Linked DNA regions of Coturnix japonica. The protein of the gene in region 2 interacts with the protein of the main gene of each other region in a biochemical or structural test. Links are inferred from orthologs where the notes say so. Each region holds a gene or a part of one and is shown on either strand. Other genes may lie near its edges.

Region 1 (4,961 bases), on a different chromosome or scaffold from region 2:
GGTTGCGGGGTGACCTCATTGCAGCCTTTCAATACCTGAAGGGAACCTACACCCAGGAGGGGAGTAAACTCTTCGAAAGGGCTGACGATACCAGGACATGGGGAAATGGTTTTAAGTTGAAAGAGGGAAGATTTAGGTTGGATGTTAGGGGGAAGTTCTTCACTAGGAGAGTGGTTAGGCCCTGGAACAGGCTGCCCAGGGAGGTTGTGGATGCCCCGTCCTTGGAGGTGTTCAAGACCAGGTTGGACGGGGCCCTGGGCAACCTGATCTAGTAAATGTGTATGTTTGGTGGCCCTGCCAGGCAGGGGGGTTGGAACTACATGATCCTTGAGGTCCCTTCCAACTCGGGTCATTCTGTGATTCTGTGTGCTGATCTTGAAAACTGGCTGCCTTTTGGTTTTCAGTTTAATTCAGTGTGGTTGAATTGCTTTCATTGCCTATTGGATAGGAAGTTTTCTCTCACATTATGTGGGGAAATGAAAACAAAATGGTAAGCCAAAGGTTTAGTCTGCTTTTGTATGAAAGCCTCTGCGTTCAGTGATTATCCTTCATAGTCCTCCTTTCTGTGCTTGTTGCAAGTTAATCTTCTTTTCACATGTGGATGATATGGTATGTGCAATTACAGAGGATGCACTCAGCGACTCCAGTTATGTCAGTTATCCTGCTAAAGGATGGGGCCACGTTTGCTATTTTCAGTGCTGTATCGTGCTGATTGTTTGCTTCACTATCATGATGAAGAAGCAAAGTCACATCTCTTGTTTCCCGGATGCGACTTCACAGTTCTATTTCATTATTAGTTTTTAAGGCTGTAACCTTGCACTTCATATGTTTGCATTTTAAACTGCTCTCACCTTGAGCTTCCTGTATATGCTGCTCTCCTTTTAATCAAGCATTGCAGCCACCTGGTAAGTCTGGATGATCTGGAGGATCAGAAACATTGTTTGCATACCTTGGGAAGTATAAAGATACATATGTAACACAGTAACTGCATTTTAATACGTGGGGAGAAAGTTATAGACAAAGGTAGGGATTATTTGAATGACCTCCAGGCTGCCCTAAATGTACATCAGATTATTTCGGTTACTGGTTCATTCTTGTCTGTAAACATGGCTGTTTTGTCTGCTTCAGTGTTACTTGGCCTTTGCTGTAAATCTAGTAATCCCAACCTTGCTTGCAAACATTCTGAGATTTGTTTTGGTAATTCCAGAGGTCTTAAGTTTTGTTTTTTGTCTTATTATTTTAAAAATGCTTTCCTAATTTTATATTGCTACGAGCACAAGCATGATAACGCTGATAGTACCAGTTAGGCTTCCAATATGTTAGTACTTACTGCCATTGTTTTTAAGAAAAACAGCTCTTTCCAGAGCCTTAATTATGATAAGCAAGATCAGCTTTTACCATAAAGGGATTACTTTTGCTGTGGGACTGTGAGAAATGCAAAGCTTTCCCTCACTAGATTTGGTTTTCTGGTGCTTCCGCTGTTGTTTAAGAAGCTGTGCAGATTTGAAATAGCTTAAGTTTGATACATTTCTCACCTAACTTTTTACAGGGTAGTCAGATGGAGAATAAATAACTGGGTTAACAATGCGTAACCAAATCATAATTTCATTTATACTTCTTAACCTTTTCACTCGGTAGAGGACAGCAATTTTAAAAACCAAAAGGAGAAGATGTTACAAGAAATAATTACAAGGAATTAAATTTTTTAATTTTTATTTTATTATTTTTTTTATAGAATGGATAAAGAAGATATGTAGAGGGTTGTTTGTTTGATTATTTTTTTATTTATTTTTTCACCTTGATTTGTTTTCTTTCCCTATGACTGTTGAAGCCACCTCAATAACATTTCATGGCTAAATTAGCTTTTCTTGCTTTTTAAGGAAAACCTGATGGAAAAGTTCCATATGCAGGCTCTGATGCATAGAGTGGGTGGGCCTTTAAATTTCTTCTTGGATTCATCTTTCTTTTTTTCCCAAATCTGAACTTTCTTAGATCTTAGGATCTTTTAGGAGGAAGTTTTTCACTCAGAGGTGGTGACACACTGGAACAGGTTGCCCAAGGAGGCTGTGGATGCCCCATCCCTGGAAGAGGCATTCAAGGCCAGGCTGGATGTGGCTCTGGGCAACCTGGTCTGGTGGTTGGTGACCCTGAACATAGCAGGAGGGTTGAAACCAAATGATCATTGTGGTTCTTTTCAAACCAAATGATCATTGTGGTTCTTTTCAATCCAGGCCATTCTGTGATTCTACGGTCTTTTTTTTCTTAAGTACAGCATGGTCAGCTTGCTTTGGAAAAAAAAATTATTTCTTGAAGGAAATAGCTTATGTGTTTACTTCAGAACACAGAATTTAGTCTTTAAACTTGGTGATTGATATGCAGATTTGTTTGAAACTGTACTTAGAATAAGGAAATCAAGGAGGGGGCTTAGAATAGGCTCTTTATTCAAAACTGAAAATAACTTTTTGTCTTTTCCCATTGTTTTTCAGAGCTTTGGTGAAGGCGTACTGCACTCTATGAAGTCACTGCTGCACAGCAGGAAAGAGTTATGCAGTGTATCAGCAGAAGAATGTTTAAGTCAGGAAGAACAAGATAATTTTATTGAGGTTTGGCATAACCTGACTTTTTTGTATATGTTTTTTGGCTATGATGCAAGATGATTTAGCTTGTAGCAGGCAGGATAGTAAATGTGAACACTGTTGCAACGTACTGACAGTTAATTCATTGCCCTGTGTTGCCATTCTTGCATTTAGCCTTTGAAGTCCTGAAAAAAAACCATAACAGTTCAAGATGAGGTTTCTCTGCTTAGTTTAATTGTGAAACTAAATAACAAGATGTGTAGATAAATGATTTTGTAGGAATTGCGTAATTGGATGCTCAGCATTTGTGTGCACTCCTCTGTTCAAGTTGTATGGATAGTACCTTGACTAGCAGAACATTTTGGTCTTAAGTCTGAAGATGAAAGCTAATAGACTGCTTGTATTTCCTTGTGCTCAGCACTAAAAGGTAAAGCTCCAGCATTGCAGATCAGGGCTTCTATGACATGAATACATATGGGCCAAAAGCTGAACAAAATCTGCTGAGGGAAAAAGAAAGGTAGACCCAGAAAGAATTCAGGGGTATCTTGGGCAATCTTGAACTGTGAAGATGACTAGATCTGTTTGATCAGCCTAACCACCAACAATTTAAATGTCTGCACTAGTTTCAAGTCTTAAAGGTATTTTATTTTTGTGAAAACTGGAGACTGTGAAATCTAGATGTTGTAATTGAGACTGAAATGAGTAGCCTCATCAGTTTCTTTGATGGCAAAATATTATTTGGGAGAGGTAAAGGTTGGTAATCATTAATTTGAGGAAGAGGAAAGGACCTGTAGGAAGAGCATACACCCACTAAAAACACATCCTAACATCAACATATCCTAAAGCCTCCCAAAACATTCTTCAAAGAAATGTTTTTCCTCCAAGTCTTTAAACTGTTAGGCCTCTTCTCTTCATACAGTAGGTGTTGTGCAGATGAGGTGTTGGAATTGAAAGGTATCTCCAGATACTGTATGCATAAAAGATGTAGGAGCTTAAGGATATGTCACTGAAAAAGGATCACTTAATAGAACAGTGAACATGATGCTGGAGAACTGTGATTTGCTAAGAGCCATTTAGAATGCTACTGCAAAAATTTTGTTTAATTTAGGATTTTGTTGTTATTGAAATAAAGATCATGGATGCAAACAAGAAAACATTTTGTGGAAGCCAAAGTAGTTGTGTGGTACCACCTGAAAGAAGTCAGAATTTTTAATATTTTAGCAAGATTTCAGTTTGAAAGGTTTTTTGTTTGCATGCGTGGAAGAAAAAAATGTGCTTATTCAAAACTCAGGTACAGTACAAAACAATTGTTTTTCAGCCATTTGTTTTTATAGCTCCTTCCTAGTTTCTCTGTATGCACGGGTGAGCTGCTGATCCAGTTAGTAAGTGAATATAAACACAGAGGTGTTCTTTGCTGGTTTTAGGCATGAGAAGCATCTCACTAGCACAGCCTTACTGTGAACTGTAACCCGAATACTTAAAAAACACTCACTCAGTTGCATAGTGCTCTGAAATAATTGAATCCCAGACATATCAACTTTAACTCCAAACATAGAATTGTAGGATCTGTGGAGTTGGAAGGGACCTTTAAAGGTCATCTTGGCCAGCTCCCCTGCAGTGAACAGGGAAACTTACAGCTAGATCAAAAGCTCAGACCTCATCCAGCCTTGACCTCGAGTGTCTCCAGGGATGGGGTATCAACCACATTTCTGGGCAGCCAGTTCATTGACTGCACCCCACAGGCTGGTGTCATCAGCAAACTTTGCTGAGGGTGCACTCAACCCCACTGTCACTGTCACTGATCAAGATTAAAGAGTGACAGTCGAAGCACTGACTCTTGTGGGACACTACTCAGCTCTGATCTCAATCCAGGCATTGAGCCGTTGACCACCACTCTCTGGACTTGATCCTGCATCCACTTCTTTGTCCATTGGACAATCCACACATCAAATCCATATCTTTCCAATTTGCAGAGAGGGATGTTGTGGGGTACTGTGTCAGAGGCCTTACTGAAGTCTGAACAGGTGACATTGGTGGCACTTCCCTTGCCTATTGATGCAATAGCACCATCGTGAAAGGCCATTAGTTTGGTCAAGCAGAATTACACTTGGTGAAGCCATGCTGGTTCTCCTATATCACCTCCCTGTCTTCCATATGCCTTAGCATAGCTTCCAGAAGGATCTGCTCCATGATCTTTCCTGGCACAGAGGTGAGACTGACAGGTTGGTAGTTCCTGGGGTCATCCTTTTTACCCTTCTTAAAAATGGGTGTGATGCTGCCTTTTTCTACCCACCAGTGACTTCACCTCATTGCCGTGGTTTTTCAAATATCATTGAAAGTGGCTTGGTGACTACATCAGCTAATTCACTCAGGACTCTGGGATGC
Region 2 (4,961 bases):
TTGGTAACAAGTGCAAGCTCTCCAAAATACTGTCCTCTGTGACACCGGGCAATCTCTACTTCTTGGTTAGCTTCCTTACTCATCATAGTCTGCAAAACAGTACATTTTAATTACTCGCAAATCAGTTCTGTACAAGGTTCAAGTTAATCCCAGATAGACTGCATACGTGCAACTGACCGTTGGTTTACAGCTTGCAAACTAGCAGTTCCTAAATCATTCTCTATAAAGGCATAATGCCTTGACAGCATGTTCAACTGTAAGTTTGGTTAAGTGCATGCTGGCCCACAAATTTTGAGATTGGCAGATATTCATTGTTACAAACTTGGGAACTGCTATTACACAAGACTAACACAGCCACAAAGTTTTGTCATACACAAGGCTTCACTCCCCAAAGAACTGCTTCGACTGTATAGGAATCTATTCAAATGTTAATGGCTACTGACATAACACACCCCAGCTTTTTGTTAGTTGTAGTTTGCTACAACCCCACAAGAAAGTTCCATTTTGACCCCTAAGGCCAGGGAGAGTACAGGTCAGTTTGCAGAGGAGTAGATAGAAGTAAACAGACCTTCCAGCTTTGGCAACTGACTCCTGACCACTTCAGAACAGGTATGGCCATTTAAAACATACATCACATTTGTGACAACAACCAAGTAATTAAAATAACGTCTTAAAGTCAGCCCAGTCAGGCTTTTGCACATTGCAATTAGCCATTCAATGATTTAGCCGATCAAATCAGTGATTAATTTAAAATCTAATCACCCAATTCAAACTCACCTTGCTTTTAATCATGATTTTTACTTCACCAGATTCTACAATATAAAAGCAATCTGCTTTATCGCCCTGTGAAGAAAAGGCAAAAGATACGTTTTTTTCTTAGTTGACTATAAAAATATGTATGAATGGTATTATTCATTGTGAACCGGGCACTGTGCAAGTCATCAGTGTGAGAAATTACACAACAGCTCTAACACTACTTAAGAAAAATAAATCACATCAGGAAACTGGAAGAAAACAGAAATAGGAGCCATTTAGAATGAAGTTCAAGAAAGGTAATGGAATGTGTTGCTGTAGTAAAAACTTATTTTAGTTCCATTCATCTGTTTCTAAGAAAAAGTCCCACAGAGTTACAGGAGAAATGAGGCTCTTATCTGTGGTTCTTCAGAACAGTGGTAAGTATTCCAGTATGAAGTTTTTCATTTCCTGTTGCCAGCTATCGCAATTTGCTGCACTCAGCACACTTAACAATGTACTGAATACTCAGGACTTTTAAACACTGAAAACAAACTGATTAGGAGACACGGGGACTTCACGTAACACCAGCAGTATGACTTAAAGCACCAGCGGTATGATTTAAAGCCAGTGCTTTCAATCACAATGCCCCAATTGACAGATCAAATTCCAGAAAGATAATTAAAATGTAACATTATCCGTGAGAGAAAAAGGATTCATGCTATTGATGCAATTGCTGTAGTACAAGAGCTATCACCATCATTTCCAAGCATAAAATTTCATCATCTCTAGCAGCGTAAAACAATCATCCAGATCAATCCAGAATATTAATCCTATTTGTAATTTCCCTTACGTGTAATTACATCCTTATCCTTAATTCAGCTGTTGCAGATTTAAAGCAACCCTGTAACCGGATCACTGGCTGTACAGCTTCCCAGTTCTGAGACAGCTTTGATTTTGCTGACAGTCCAGTTTTCTCAGGCTCTTAAGCAACAAGATTTTCAGCTTACACAATTGAGCCTTTTTGGAGAGAAGTGATTTGGCTGTATTTTCTTATCAGCAAAGGATGTTCTCTTGCACTGCGGTAGCTGATATTCAAGCTAATTAAGATTAACTATTCAAAACAGTATCAAGTACCCAGACTCTGTTTATAAAACAGGAAGACCTGTGGTCAAAACGCCTACCATTTCAGGTAAGCCAAGGTCTTCCTTGCATTAACTCCTGTTTAAAATAGAGCACTTTCTCAAAATCAATATACAAAGCTAAGACTGATGCAGAATTCTTGTGTTTCACCTGTAAAAATACTCCAAAAAAGTGAGTTCTGTCACAGGAAAAAAAAGGTTCAGCTTTAATTTGTCCAGCTTTATGTTTCAATCTGGTCTCAATCCATTACAGCAAAGTGTATCAACAACCAAAGCCTGCTGACTGAACTCTGACTATTCCTAACACTAAAATACTCTTTTTAAAAGGCATCTGGAAAATCACCTTTTTTAATTAAAGTGAGAATTCTTCATACAGTTAACTGACTTGAGATCAACTAGTAAAGCAGACCTATAGAGCTTGCTTAGCTCTATGCAAGACATACTCCTGTTGAATTGCTCGACTTTCCTGTTTAGTCAGGCCTATGGATGTGGCTTGGGACTCCCCTTTTAATCTGGTTACAGGTGCCTATAAAAACTGCACCTCAGGGCTTTCATTGAAAATTGTAATGACAGACATTTAATTTCAGCTTCTTCAGGGTCAGTCCTTTTGAAGCCTTGCAAAGACCGTTTATAGAAAACAAATGGTCAAAATAAGGAATTACCCAGAAGCTAAAGCAGTGGAATAAATACGTAGCAAAATACAACTGGCCCTTCCCCAGATATTCAAAAACTGGTTAAACAAATTGAAAGCATTAAAAGAATAATGCTAACTTGATCCAATTAACACGATTCTGTGAGTAGCTTCCACATAGGAACAAAAACAAAGAGGGGAGAATGACAGATGGGAATTTATACTCTAAGTACCTGAGAAATGATACGTTCCCCATCCCGATACACTTTCTCTCCTATAACATCCACAATTTTCATGCGCTCTGATGCCTGCAATGAAGAGGAAAATCAAGCACAATTACCTGCCATAGCAAACCTCACAACTCAGAAGTTAAGAAGTGTTCACTAGACAAAAACACGCTGAATCTGGCTACTGAAAAATGCAGCCCCCACATGACCTCATAATATTGCAGCACATCTTTCAAGACTACCAAAAAGATCAATGGCAAAAAAAGTTTTCTATTGTCCCACACCTAAAGTTTAAAATGACTGATTTGGCTGTTTTAGAACTAAGAAAAAAAAGCACTTCCTGTGAGATTCAGCTGAAATCTGAAGAAAGCGTTTAGAGAAATGCCAAGTCCTTCCCCAGAAACCTCAATGAAAAATATTAGTAATTCATTTTCAAAATACTTTCATTGCTGTGCACTTGAATGTCTTCGGTTGGTTGGTTGGAGTTTTTTGTGTGTTTATTTTGGTTGGTTGTTTTTTGTCTTAAAGCTCACTGCTGGATTAGGAAGAGGATGAGGGGGTATGAGAAAGACACTGGGTCTAAAAATTGTAAGCAAGCATTGCAACAGGATGCCCTGCAGCAAGGTCAAGAGGTACTAAACTGACGTGCAGTGAAATGTGCCTCACAAACAGGAAGGGAGAAAGGACAGTTAAATTTATCTCCAATGTTTCCTGCTGCCCATCTTGCACATCACAAAACAACTCTAATCATTCACAGCAGTGTAAAAATATATTAAGAAAGAAAATCCTAAACAGTTCAAATGAATATCTCCACACATGATTCATTTTTAATCTATTCATTTCACAAATGCACTTCCATCTAGCCCATGTTTAAGAAACTGTTAATTACGATCCACGCATGATTCAACTGCAGTGTGTCATGCAAAAAGCCAGCCAGTGCTAATGAGATTTTTCTCTTTTTTGAATCTTTAATCTTTTATGAGTCATTTTGGGCTTTAAAAAAAACAAAAAGGCACACACTGATGAAACTAGTTTAAGCCAGTCATTGAGGGAGATGTTGTGTAATTCACCCCTTTTACAGCTATCAGCATAGGTCCAAACTAATATATCCTGGAAGCCACTATTTACACTTATGATGCTTTGCAATTTTGTAATCCTTTCCCAAGAGGATTGAGAACTATTCTCAAGTGCTGAAGATTTAAGCTGAAAAAATGTAACGAGGAAACAAAGAAAAATATAAGTTCTGGCAGAGGGCAAAGATATATAACAATGTTCCATGCAGTCTGGCATGTCTCCAAAGCCTTTCTGAAAATACAGGCTAAATCAATGGCTTAGAAGTGGCAATTTACACATCGTTCCTAAAGTCATGCACCACACATAACAACAGTGCTTGCTCTGCCTGGTTATTTTCCTCCTGGGCAGCAGTGCTTCCTTTAGTTTATTCTTAGCTTAGAAGAGTTAAGATCTGCAGTGGGAAGCATCTTTGAAATTTCAAAATCATTCACAGATAATGAAAATCAAGTATTCCAGAGACCATATCATTACTTCAAAAACACACCCACAAACAGAACCAAAGCCCTGAGTCCCAGTTTTCACTTTAATCCCTATATTTTCTCTCTACCTGTTTTGTGTTTTAAAGCCTTCTCAAAAACTGAGATAAAAATCGCCTACTGCGAACAGTGGATATGAAAAACACGTTGGACAACTTCAACAATGCAAATAGGATATTTAGCAGGTCTGAAGAACTTGTAAGCAAAAAATGACACTGATTTCTGATACAGTATAAACCAACTGGGGAGGTAACAAGAATTTGATGCAGATGTTTCTGAGAGACTTTACCTCCAAGGACTTGAGAAGGGGTACAGACTCAATAAATAACTCATATGTCTTCCTCTTCTTTGCATTGTTTTTCAATATAATTCTTCTGAATGTCACTCGATCCTGCAAGAAACAGCACAAACTGATTATTCCTCCTAACTAAAATGCCTACTGATTAAACAATCTTTATCTAATATTAAAGATTATCTACCTCATATTTGCAAGAGAATTTAGATACAAGAAGTCAGTTATTAAAATGATAGCACATCCATCACAAAAGTGATCTTAACAGGCCTCATGATAATATTTCCTGGAAATACCAAGCTGAAAAACAGGGAGCTCTAAGACAAACCTGGCCCTTCTCAGAAAGCCATTTAAGAATTCCAGTTTTACTCCATCTTGAATTGTTTT
Region 3 (4,961 bases), on a different chromosome or scaffold from region 2:
TTTTTTCTTGAACAGGGGAAGACACCTGGGGTGGCTTAAACACTGGGTTCTGCTGCTGCTTGGAGGCTGGAGATAGCCTGGTGGTGTCTGGTTGCTCTTTGGCAGAGATTTCCTGTTCTGATGGGATTTTCTCTTCCTTGCCATTTGTTTTATCTGCCTGTTCGGCTATGGCTTGTTGGATGGCATTCTGAACAAGCAGACCAGCATGGTACTCCAGTTGGTTGTCAATCAGCATAGAGTCTGCCAAGGCAGAGGACAGTGAGTCACAGCCTGGGTCGCTGAATGATTTGGACATGCCTTCGCTCCTGCACTCTGCTGGAGTATCCGTCTGCGGGGTCTGTGGCAGGGAGAAATCTGCCAATGAGCTCTCTTGCAGGGCACTCATAGTTTCATTAGAGGCGCCACTGTCACTGATGTTATCCATGCTGAAGTCATTGGAAAGGGTCTCCAAGACAGTGGTATCCTGAGACCTTACAGACAAGTCATCCAAACCAGAGTCAAGCTCCTCAGGAGGGGAGGAGGCGCTGGCTGACTTTGGGAGCTGGTCTAGCACACCCTGTACATCATCCTTCACCACTGTGAAGACAGCTCTTGCACTCATGAATTCTCCATCCTCTGACCACAGCTTTGAGGCCTGTCCAGCTCTGGAGCTATCACTACATGGTAACTCTCTTACTGGGTCAGCACTGTTGTTCTGAGCATTTGTATCATCCTCTGAAGAACAGGAGACTTTCTGTGCTTTCACAACAGTGATGTCATTACCCTCATGTTGACCTGTTTGTCCATACATTGAAACAGGTCTTGTAATGGTGGAGAGAGGCCTGTCTGCATTTGAAGGATTGAGGCTTTTATAGAATGGTTTAACAGAGAACATTTTGGGTGTTCCTGACCGCCTTGGTGGGACCTGACCTTGAGATGGACCTGAATGCTCCATCAGTTGAAACTGCTTCCTGGCAGCTGAGAAATCAATTTGCTCTGTGACAATATCTTCTTTCTTGATATTCACTGTCTCTGGTGGTACAAAGGAGCAGCTGACCTGTTTGGGAGATGTTGGTGTTGCATTTTGCTGCTGCAGTCTCTCCTTGCGCTCCTTGTACTTCTTGTGAGATTCCAGATGCTCTTCATCCAGTTGTTCCTCCAGGGTCTTCTCCTGGGGAGGGTTCCACCATTTGGCGGCAATGTTAGGGTTTTTCTTGACAGCCTGGCTTTTAATGAGCTCCCTTCTTTCCTTTTCAAGTTCTATCATTTCCTCTGATGGTCTCACTTTGCGGACCCTGTACTTTTCTTTCTCATCGTCTTCTTCAAAGAGCTTAGAGGGCTTTTTGTCCTCATGGAAAGCTCGCAGTTCAAACTTAGCCTCTTTCTTAAGTGTTGTAAGAGTTGTTTCTCCATCCTTAGAAGATCTTCTGGAACTGTTTGAAGAAGTGGGACTTCCTGGCACCTTCAGACTTTCCCCAGTGTCTTCCTTCAGTCCTCTCAAGGAATGGCCATTGGAGTTCAGGCTTTCACCTGCTGTACTAGCTTCATGCGGTTTAACAACCAAGGGCACCTGCCTGTCATTTACATTTTCTTCCCTTGCACTGGGTACTGAATCATTAGAGACGTTAACCGACACCCCTGAGCCATCCATGATGGTGACTGCACTTAACTGAGGAGAGGATGTCCCATTAAAGGTATTATCAGCAGATGAATCACAGCAGTTTGCCTCCAGCACTTCATCGAGATATCTGATCTCCTTAGCAACTTCACTGTCCAGGGATTCATGCCTGTCCTTAAGTCCATTGTGGCTGGCAGCAGAAGAAAAGAAGTGAGTTGGATTGTCTATGGGATGTGGTGAAGCCACTGTGGTGATGCTTTTATGTTCAGAAACAGGAACTTCGATTTCCATTTTTTCTTCCTTTGCAGAAAGCGCAGTAGCCGGCTCCAAGAAATTGGCACAGTTTTGGTCTCTATTTTTTTTTAACCTGATGTCATCCTCAGGAATTCTGGAAGATTTCTAAAATAAAACAGAACAAAACTTTGATGAAGTCCTGAAGAGAAGCATTGTATTTTCTGCACACTAAACACCATCTGGAAAGCAAATCATAGAACTTTCTAAACTCGAGATTAAAAGTGTTCTTCACAAAATTAGAAGGTGAGGTAAATAATTATTACTTACAAAAAACAGAAGGTTAACTCAGTCTGAAGTGGACAGGGCACTAAAACAACAACAAACTTTCATTGAAATATCCCCCAACTGGTTATCAACCTCACTTTGTCATTATTCCAGGCCTGTGTCCTGGTCTGCCACTAAAAACGAGGTTTGGATTTTCAAGTTACAAATGACTTAACAGTTTAGGTTCCTGAAAGGCTTGCACGAGCAGCACGCCGCACCTATCAATATGGTATTTTACAAATGTCTTCCACACCTAACCTAAAGAAAACCTCAGAATCCTTCCACAGCTGATAAGCTTTACTGCCTCTATCTTGCAGAAACAGACGCTAACATGCAGAAAGATCAGGCAACTCATCCCACATTAGGGAAAGGGTGAGACATTACCAGGGGATGCTCATTTCTCAGTGGGTCAATCTCAGCCATCAAACACAGGGTAGAATAACACAGTGCTGGAAAAAACATGGGGTCTTTCTCTGGCCCACACAGAAACCCACGTGCAACTGGACTTGGGAGGACAGAAGCATTCATGACTCCCACAGCAGCATTCATGAGATCATCACAGGAGGCACAACAGGGACCAGAATCATGGTCTTCTCCCTCTCACTCTTTCATCCAAAACACAGACACACTGGACTCATATTTCCTCATGATGAAGACATTGCCAGTACCATTCTTCCACAATAACTTGGTAATTTTCTCAGAACACAACACAATCTCAAAATAACCAAACACGGCATGCCTATTCGTGCCATCAAACTCTTTAACACAGAAACTTGCATTCTGAGGTCTCCGGCTCCTTTTTAACACAAACTCTTATGCAGCACTACTGGTGAAGCATGGATTTGGGAAGCAAACAGCACTAACCAAATCCTCCAAATACAGTATCTCCCCAGAAAGGTCACTCTTGTATGCGGGCCGCAGCCTTCCTTGCCAGCATTCATCATGCACTTGGTTAGTACACAATGCAGCAGAAAATGACCAGCCAAGAGCACAAGGATCTTACCAGCCACCTGAACAATCACATTGCCTCTGGGTTTACATGGGCAGAAAAATGCATTTGACACACATTGAAGAATTTGATCCAGGCAGAAGAGCTCTCCTTCTAAAAGCATTTTAAAAGAGTTTCCTGTCTAATCATGCCATTGTGCAGAGCTGAAGGTAATGCTAGGTAATGCTACCTTCATCCATTAGAGATTCTCAATCATTCTTAGATGCCACAAAACACCTTAAGAACTGGGAAACAAACAATTCTCTTTTGTCTACACATCTTTCTTATGTAGTTGGTTTTACTTTCATTGTACCTTCTGTTGAACCTACAGGCATACTCTACATATTCTCAAGCTTTATTTTCTATCAGTGCTCTTCTTTAAGCCTACTACATTTTTCACAATTTACATGTCTAACTGTGGTCAGCTTTGTTTTCAGCCTGAGTAAAGATATATTCAAGCAAGCTGGTATTCTACAAACAAGTTCAGAATAATCAGTAAGAACAAAACTTTGTTTAAACCTGGAAAAGCAAAAATTACTCTGATTTGTCTGCAGAGCTCCAAGTTTCATATACAACAGGTACTCACAACAGGCCTAGAACTGCAGTTTCTTTCTGAGTTTTGGGTTAAAGTCTCCTGTCAGATTAGCTGACACCAAAAAGAGGATATTGCTACCTGAAGCAGATTGAGAGGAGAGGCCTTAAGCCTCTGTGTGGGGCTGCTGGCCCTTCACAGCTGAGATGAGCATGCTGTCAAGCTTCTGCTAACATCTGGAACTAGCAACAGACCTGCTGTTGCCCCCAAGACTTCATAGCTAACACATGCCTACTGCCCTTGCTGAGCCAACATATATAGAACCCTTCAGATCAGGTCATGTTTCGATATTCAAGTTGCCTTGAGGGAACCAAACCAAAGATGAACTACTTCATCAGTTGATTTCTTAATGAGTAATAGCTCATCCCCTCATCATAGCTGCAATCTTCAGTTCACAATTAAGGCATATAGACGCAACTGCCTAATCAGGACACGCATTTATGGCAGCATGTAATTCTGAGAGTGCGTGTGTCTGTGCAATTAGAGTGGCACATGTAATTATCTAGTAAGCAAGACAATTATGCAGTAAATCTTATGAGGAAACATTGCTCCTCATGGGAAGAGGCCTTTCTTTGCCAAGGACTAATAACTGTGAGTAGGGAAGGGTTCTCTGCAGGGGAGTAAACCAGGGAATGGAGGAGAGAAAAAATATTTATTACAACTCCTTGTTTTCCCCTCAGCACATTCTTATATAATCTTGGGACACTTTCAGGAAAACAAGGAGGGAATGCTCCAGACACCCCTGTAAGAAGCAGAAGTCAACCCATGAATGAATTATATGAAGAAGAAGCTAGTAAGGTCATATGAATGGACGCAGATCAAACTGTCAGGAAAACCAGCTGGGAATGTTCTGGAAGAATGGCACACATTAGGATGAAGACGTGGTGATGGGAAAAGACTGGGAAACTACAGCCTCATCTGGGCTGCTTGGCAGGAAGGGCAGAGCTTGCCAGGGGCTGCTGCTGCACACACCAGCACCTTAACACACTGCCCACTGAGGGCAGCTGTCTGAAAACTATTAATAAAAGTCTGTAAATGAGGGATGGCCAGCATTCAGTCCTTGCTGCAACCAGCAACTCTGCCTTAACAGCAATTCCCGTATACTGCATTTTCCAGAAATTACTGTTACATTTAAACCCTCTCTGAATATGTATTAATTTCTCTCTGTTAAGTCAAGATGCAAGTGTAATTATTGCCATTTGTACAACACTGCTGCACTTTAGTAA
Region 4 (4,961 bases), on a different chromosome or scaffold from region 2:
TACATGCAAACAGCTGAAGTGAAAATGTAGTGTGAAACTAAAATATAGTGCTGGAAACATTTCTGCCAGTGGTGCTACTTCTGAACAGAGTGGAAAACCATTTTAGTAGGCCAAATTTAAAGTGACATGTGCATACCTAATACTTGCCACTGTTGGGCTCACTTAAGTATAGTGTGACAGTCTGACCTTCCCAATGGTGAACCTGGCACTTATTCTACTTCTTGAATATACTGACAACAAGAACAACATTCTACTTAAAAAAAAAAAAAAAAAAAGCCTTTATTCTTCTGATGATTAATTTTTTTCTGAGTTTTTATTATGAACAATTGTACTTCACCTATTCTGTTCACCTTGTACCAAATCCTGGGGCATCAATGGAACTCCTGTAGTTAGAAACTATTATGGAGAGGTCTGACTTTAAAATAATTAAAAAAAAAAAAAAAAGCTTATGAAAAACTATTAAACTAGTTCCTTTCAAGCTGTCCCTAAGGGAAAATATCTTCAAAAGATGAGTCCTTCAGAGCATTCATTGAAAGTTGTTTGTGTTGGTGCTTGCAGAAAGCCTTATCTGCCCTCCAGGAAAATCTTGTGTTCCCAAAAATCTTGTGTTCCCAAATACGTACTTGAAGTGGCAGGCTGACATTCTAAATCACACAAAAGCTTCTTTTGTGAGACAAGTAACTTATGTCTAGTTGTCCTGGTAATGTTTTAGGCATTACTTCTCATAGGGCACTACTAAAAACTATGTTTTAAAGCTTATTTGTCAGTAGAATGTGATTGCAGCTTGTCACATATGGGAGTATATAACAGCTGTTGTAATGACCTTACGTAGGATGGAAGAGACAATGTATAAACTGTTAAAAGACCTAGAGGCTGAACTTTTATGTACTAACCTGATAGTCTTCAGCGTAAACTCTGGTGAACACAGGTACATAAAAATTGTCACATCTTTCCTTTTCAGGCCAGGAGCGTTTTGGAAATATGACAAGAGTGTACTACAAAGAAGCAGTTGGTGCTTTTGTGGTCTTTGATGTCACAAGAGGTTCCACGTTTGAGGCTGTTTCAAAGTGGAAACATGATTTGGACAGTAAAGTACTTCTTCCCAATGGCAGCCCCATCCCTGCTGTTCTTCTTGCAAACAAGTGTGACCAAAAGAAAGATGGCAGCCAGAATCTTTCTCAAATGGACCAGTTCTGCAGAGAAGGTGGCTTTATTGGATGGTTTGAAACATCTGCCAAGGTAAGAATTAAGTAGGTGTTTAAGTGTGCTTTCTATTCACAACAGCAGATATAGTCATATGGGGAAAGAAATTTATCAGATGCAGGAAGTGACAGTTTGGATTCCAGTGTTCAGTGAGAAATAGAAGTGGTGTGCAGGATAGTTCATTGCTAAGGAAGGCTTACAGCATATTTAGTTGGAACTGCATCTCACATTCAGACAACACTGAAGTGGAAACATTAACTGAATTCAATGTGTTTTTTTTTTTTGATCTTGTGTGCATCAAGATCAGTGCTGTTCTTTAGATGTCAGTGCTAATAAATACTGATTGAACTGATAAAAGGAAAAACTACTGCATCTTTAAGTGAAAGAATTCCCATTGCAGCTTTTTCTTATCTGGTGCATACAAGAAGTGATGAGACTCCAGATAAAATTATCTGCTTGCTTGCTACTATATACTTAGATGATGCTACTAAACCACTTTCTCCTATATCAAGTAGTGATGAGACTGAACTAGGGAAAATCTAATTGCCCAGTTGTGGAGAAACTGATTTTAAGGGCAGCTGCTTTATTCCAATTAAAGTTTATGTTTGAGTAGATTCAAATGTTGCACAGTTTTAATCAAACTCAAACAGTGTGCATATATGCTTACAGTAGCTTAGTTGGCAGTGAAATCAACAGTTTCTTAACCTAAATGCCTTCATGTTGAAAAATCATCAATCTCAAGCATCAATATGTCTGACAGGGCCAGTTACTGGTCTGGCCAATAATTCCTTTATATTAAGCTAAGCTTCAAGATCCTTCTCTTCCTTTGAGTTCACTACTTCCTTCAGTTGCTGCTGACAAACTGGCATAAAGCATACTTATGCAAGAGCTATTTCTAGCACCTGATGCTTTTTTTTTTTTTTTCCACAAAGATCTGTAAGAGGAATGGCAAGAAATAAATCTCTTCCTGGTCACCATAAAATAAGGAGTAGGGATGCACAGTGACTAAGGTACTAGACTGAAATACAGTTCTAGGTATTCTGCATACACACTTTCACTGTCCCTGGCGGTGTTCAGGAGGCATCTGGATGAGGAGCTATGAGGTATGGTTTAGTGGCTTGTGGTAGTAATGTTAATAGGAGGACAGTTGGACTAGATGATCTTGTAGATCCTTTCCTACCTTGTGAATCTATATTTCTATGATTCTTTGGAATGTAAGTTAAGGTACTTACTTAAGAAAATGGCTGAATGAAGCACCTTGACTTTTCTGGTTTTTTGAGGCTGATACAAAAGACCTCTGTTGATAAATGAGTTTATTGATATTGCAGCAAAAAGAGGAATAGGCTCCAAAAGGCCATGCACTACTAAAACCAGTGTTAATTGCCTCTTATCTTTCTTAACACATAAGTGCAGCTTGGCACTTAAGAGTGGTTCAAACATAGTTTTATGTCCAGACTACACAGTACTTTGGAGTCTAGCTATCCTTTGTGTATGGTGGGTGAATAGCTTCACTAAACTTTTCTGATGATTTATTTTTTTTCCTTTTACAAACAGCAAATTTTTGAGCAATGATGTGTTGTATCTAAGCTGCCTGTGTTCTGCCAGTGGCTGCAGAGTAGTGTGTATTTGGCCAGCTTCTAACAAGGAAGTGTGACTTTTTAAAAGCAAAAATCCAACCAACAACTTGTTAACTTATTTGCATTCCTATTCTTAGGACAACATCAACATAGATGAAGCTGCTCGATTCTTGGTGGAAAACATCCTTGCCAACTACAAAACCTTTCCTAATGAAGAGAATGATGTGGGGAAACCAAAACTGGACCTAGACCCATTGAAAGCAGAGAGTAAATCACAGTGCTGCTAATGCTACCACTGTTCGACAAATGTGATGGAATGAGCAGCAAGACTGTTCCTTAAATCAAACTGCTGCTATGGTGCTGCATTGTGACAATCCATATGGGGTGTCTGGTATTATCTGAACAGGTGATTCTTGTGGGTGTTTACATACTCAGTTTCATGCTAAACAGGAGTATCTTGTGAGTTCTCACTCCTCTTGCTTGAGTGGCTTCATCTAAATCTGGTTAGTTGCTTACTTGAGAACATAAGGTAGTGTTTACACTCCTAAAAAAGAACAAAGACAACATTCAGTGTCTACTTTGCCTTCTAGGATATGCTACATTCCAAATAGGACTCACTCATGTCTTTAGCTGAACAGACACTTGCACCTCTACTGAATATTCTTTTCGTCACCAATAATGCCCTACTTTAGCTTGACTTCTCACCTATATACACTTGTACCTATCTGTCTCCTTGCTAGCTCACTTGGATCAAGATGTTATGTTAATCTTGAAGGGGCCAATATCATCATTGGTGTGTTCACGAGGATCAGGTGGAGTAGACTGCTTTCACCTCTGTGTAAGAACAAGATAGGTAAAGGTAAACGATTGTATTTAATGGAAAGACACTGTTACATGGGTACTAACAAAAATACATCTTCTGCTATTTAAAGAATATTACTTTCAGCTAATACTTTACCTGTGAAACACATTAATCAATACAGTTGCATTTCTGCCATTCTTATAATAATTTCACTTGTATGCACATCTAGAAATATCCAGAAGTCTTTTCATGCACTAACACCAAAAACTTTAGCAAGGCTGGGTAAAATAAATATCTTGCTGTCCTGTGACAATGAACTTCCTACTTTTTCCTTTTTTTTTTTTTTTTTTCTCCTGGAGATGGTTCTGAATACTTTGAATAAGAATAGATGCTTTGGAAGAAATAATTCAACTGGATCTTTGTAGCTTGTCAAAAATCCCCCGCCTCCTTTTTTAATTTTAGAACAGTGCTGCACTCTTCTGACTACTCAGTTTGTGAACTGGCTTGCTTACCAGCTTGTAACTGTTCATGGAGATGCTTGCTTCCTTGTTATAACCCAGGTTTTTCTGGCAGCAAATGAAGATTAAAAGGAATAGAGAACTTCAGTTCTTGGCTATTTTCTTGTAATTTTGGCTCTACTAGGCTGAAATGCTTCAGAGCTCCTTGTAATTTTAAAGGGTTTCTTCTGTCTTGGTACCTCACTGCTATTGGCTTCAGAGTTCTTAACTTGCTTGTCTGGTGGTACTGATGTTTATGTAAATATCAGCATGAAGTATGTGCCAGATTGAATATACTTTAATCTGTATTGAAATTATCTAGGCTGATGTCTTTTCTAAGGAGTAACATATTTTTTAAGAAACGAATAAATATATTTGGGCATCTTATCTTGTTGGTGTGTGCTTTTTGAATGAATCTTTGCATTATGTGTGCCACCCTAAATAAAGTTGGTTTCAAGTATCAATGAAAATATTTATTTCAATAGTTAAAATTTAAAGGCTTCTTTTATATTACCACGGTATGGAATGCTATAAACTAAAACCAGGTTTAGCTAGTTGGTGTTTGAGTTAATTTAGGCTAGATGACATTTTAAGAATCCTTCTGGTCTCCTTCTCAATAGAAGGAATAGAGGAATAGTGAATAGAGGATCATACCAGGCTGTTCAGGTCTTCATGTAGTATTCTGGTCTTAAAGATTCAGTGGCAGACCATATGACCTCCAGGAAAGTTGTTTCAATGCTTGACTGTCTGCATGAGCATTTATCTAGTTTGATTATATCCATGATATCTCATCTTCCCACTGTGTAGCACTACAAGGAATGAATCTGTTTTGCTTGTGCAGATTAGCTGGACATCTAAAGCTTGATTACAGGCTATTTGAAG

The links.
Region 1: the proteins of PRKAR2A (region 2) and AKAP11 form a complex in vitro, tested with the Homo sapiens proteins (2 studies listed by BioGRID, with this or other methods). The link is inferred for Coturnix japonica from reciprocal best matches to the Homo sapiens genes PRKAR2A and AKAP11.
Region 3: the proteins of PRKAR2A (region 2) and PALM2AKAP2 form a complex in vitro, tested with the Homo sapiens proteins (2 studies listed by BioGRID, with this or other methods). The link is inferred for Coturnix japonica from reciprocal best matches to the Homo sapiens genes PRKAR2A and PALM2AKAP2.
Region 4: the proteins of PRKAR2A (region 2) and RAB32 interact in a test that uses a peptide from one of them, tested with the Homo sapiens proteins (2 studies listed by BioGRID, with this or other methods). The link is inferred for Coturnix japonica from reciprocal best matches to the Homo sapiens genes PRKAR2A and RAB32.

The regions. Positions count from the first base shown.
Region 1 is NC_029516.1:148,921,398-148,926,358, forward strand, and holds part of AKAP11 (A-kinase anchor protein 11), read left to right. Parts: intron 1-2,486; coding exon 2,487-2,603; intron 2,604-4,961. UniProt on the Homo sapiens protein: Binds to type II regulatory subunits of protein kinase A and anchors/targets them.
Region 2 is NC_029527.1:9,289,171-9,294,131, reverse strand, and holds part of PRKAR2A (cAMP-dependent protein kinase type II-alpha regulatory subunit), read right to left. Parts: intron 4,674-4,961; coding exon 4,572-4,673; intron 2,814-4,571; coding exon 2,739-2,813; intron 844-2,738; coding exon 778-843; intron 90-777; coding exon 1-89. UniProt on the Homo sapiens protein: Regulatory subunit of the cAMP-dependent protein kinases involved in cAMP signaling in cells. Type II regulatory chains mediate membrane association by binding to anchoring proteins, including the MAP2 kinase.
Region 3 is NC_029547.1:58,459,571-58,464,531, reverse strand, and holds part of PALM2AKAP2 (A-kinase anchor protein 2), read right to left. Parts: intron 1,997-4,961; coding exon 1-1,996. UniProt on the Homo sapiens protein: Binds to regulatory subunit (RII) of protein kinase A. May be involved in establishing polarity in signaling systems or in integrating PKA-RII isoforms with downstream effectors to capture, amplify and focus diffuse, trans-cellular signals carried by cAMP.
Region 4 is NC_029518.1:42,175,790-42,180,750, forward strand, and holds the end of RAB32 (ras-related protein Rab-32), read left to right. Parts: intron 1-961; coding exon 962-1,239; intron 1,240-2,917; coding exon 2,918-3,067; 3' UTR 3,068-4,543; downstream 4,544-4,961. UniProt on the Homo sapiens protein: The small GTPases Rab are key regulators of intracellular membrane trafficking, from the formation of transport vesicles to their fusion with membranes.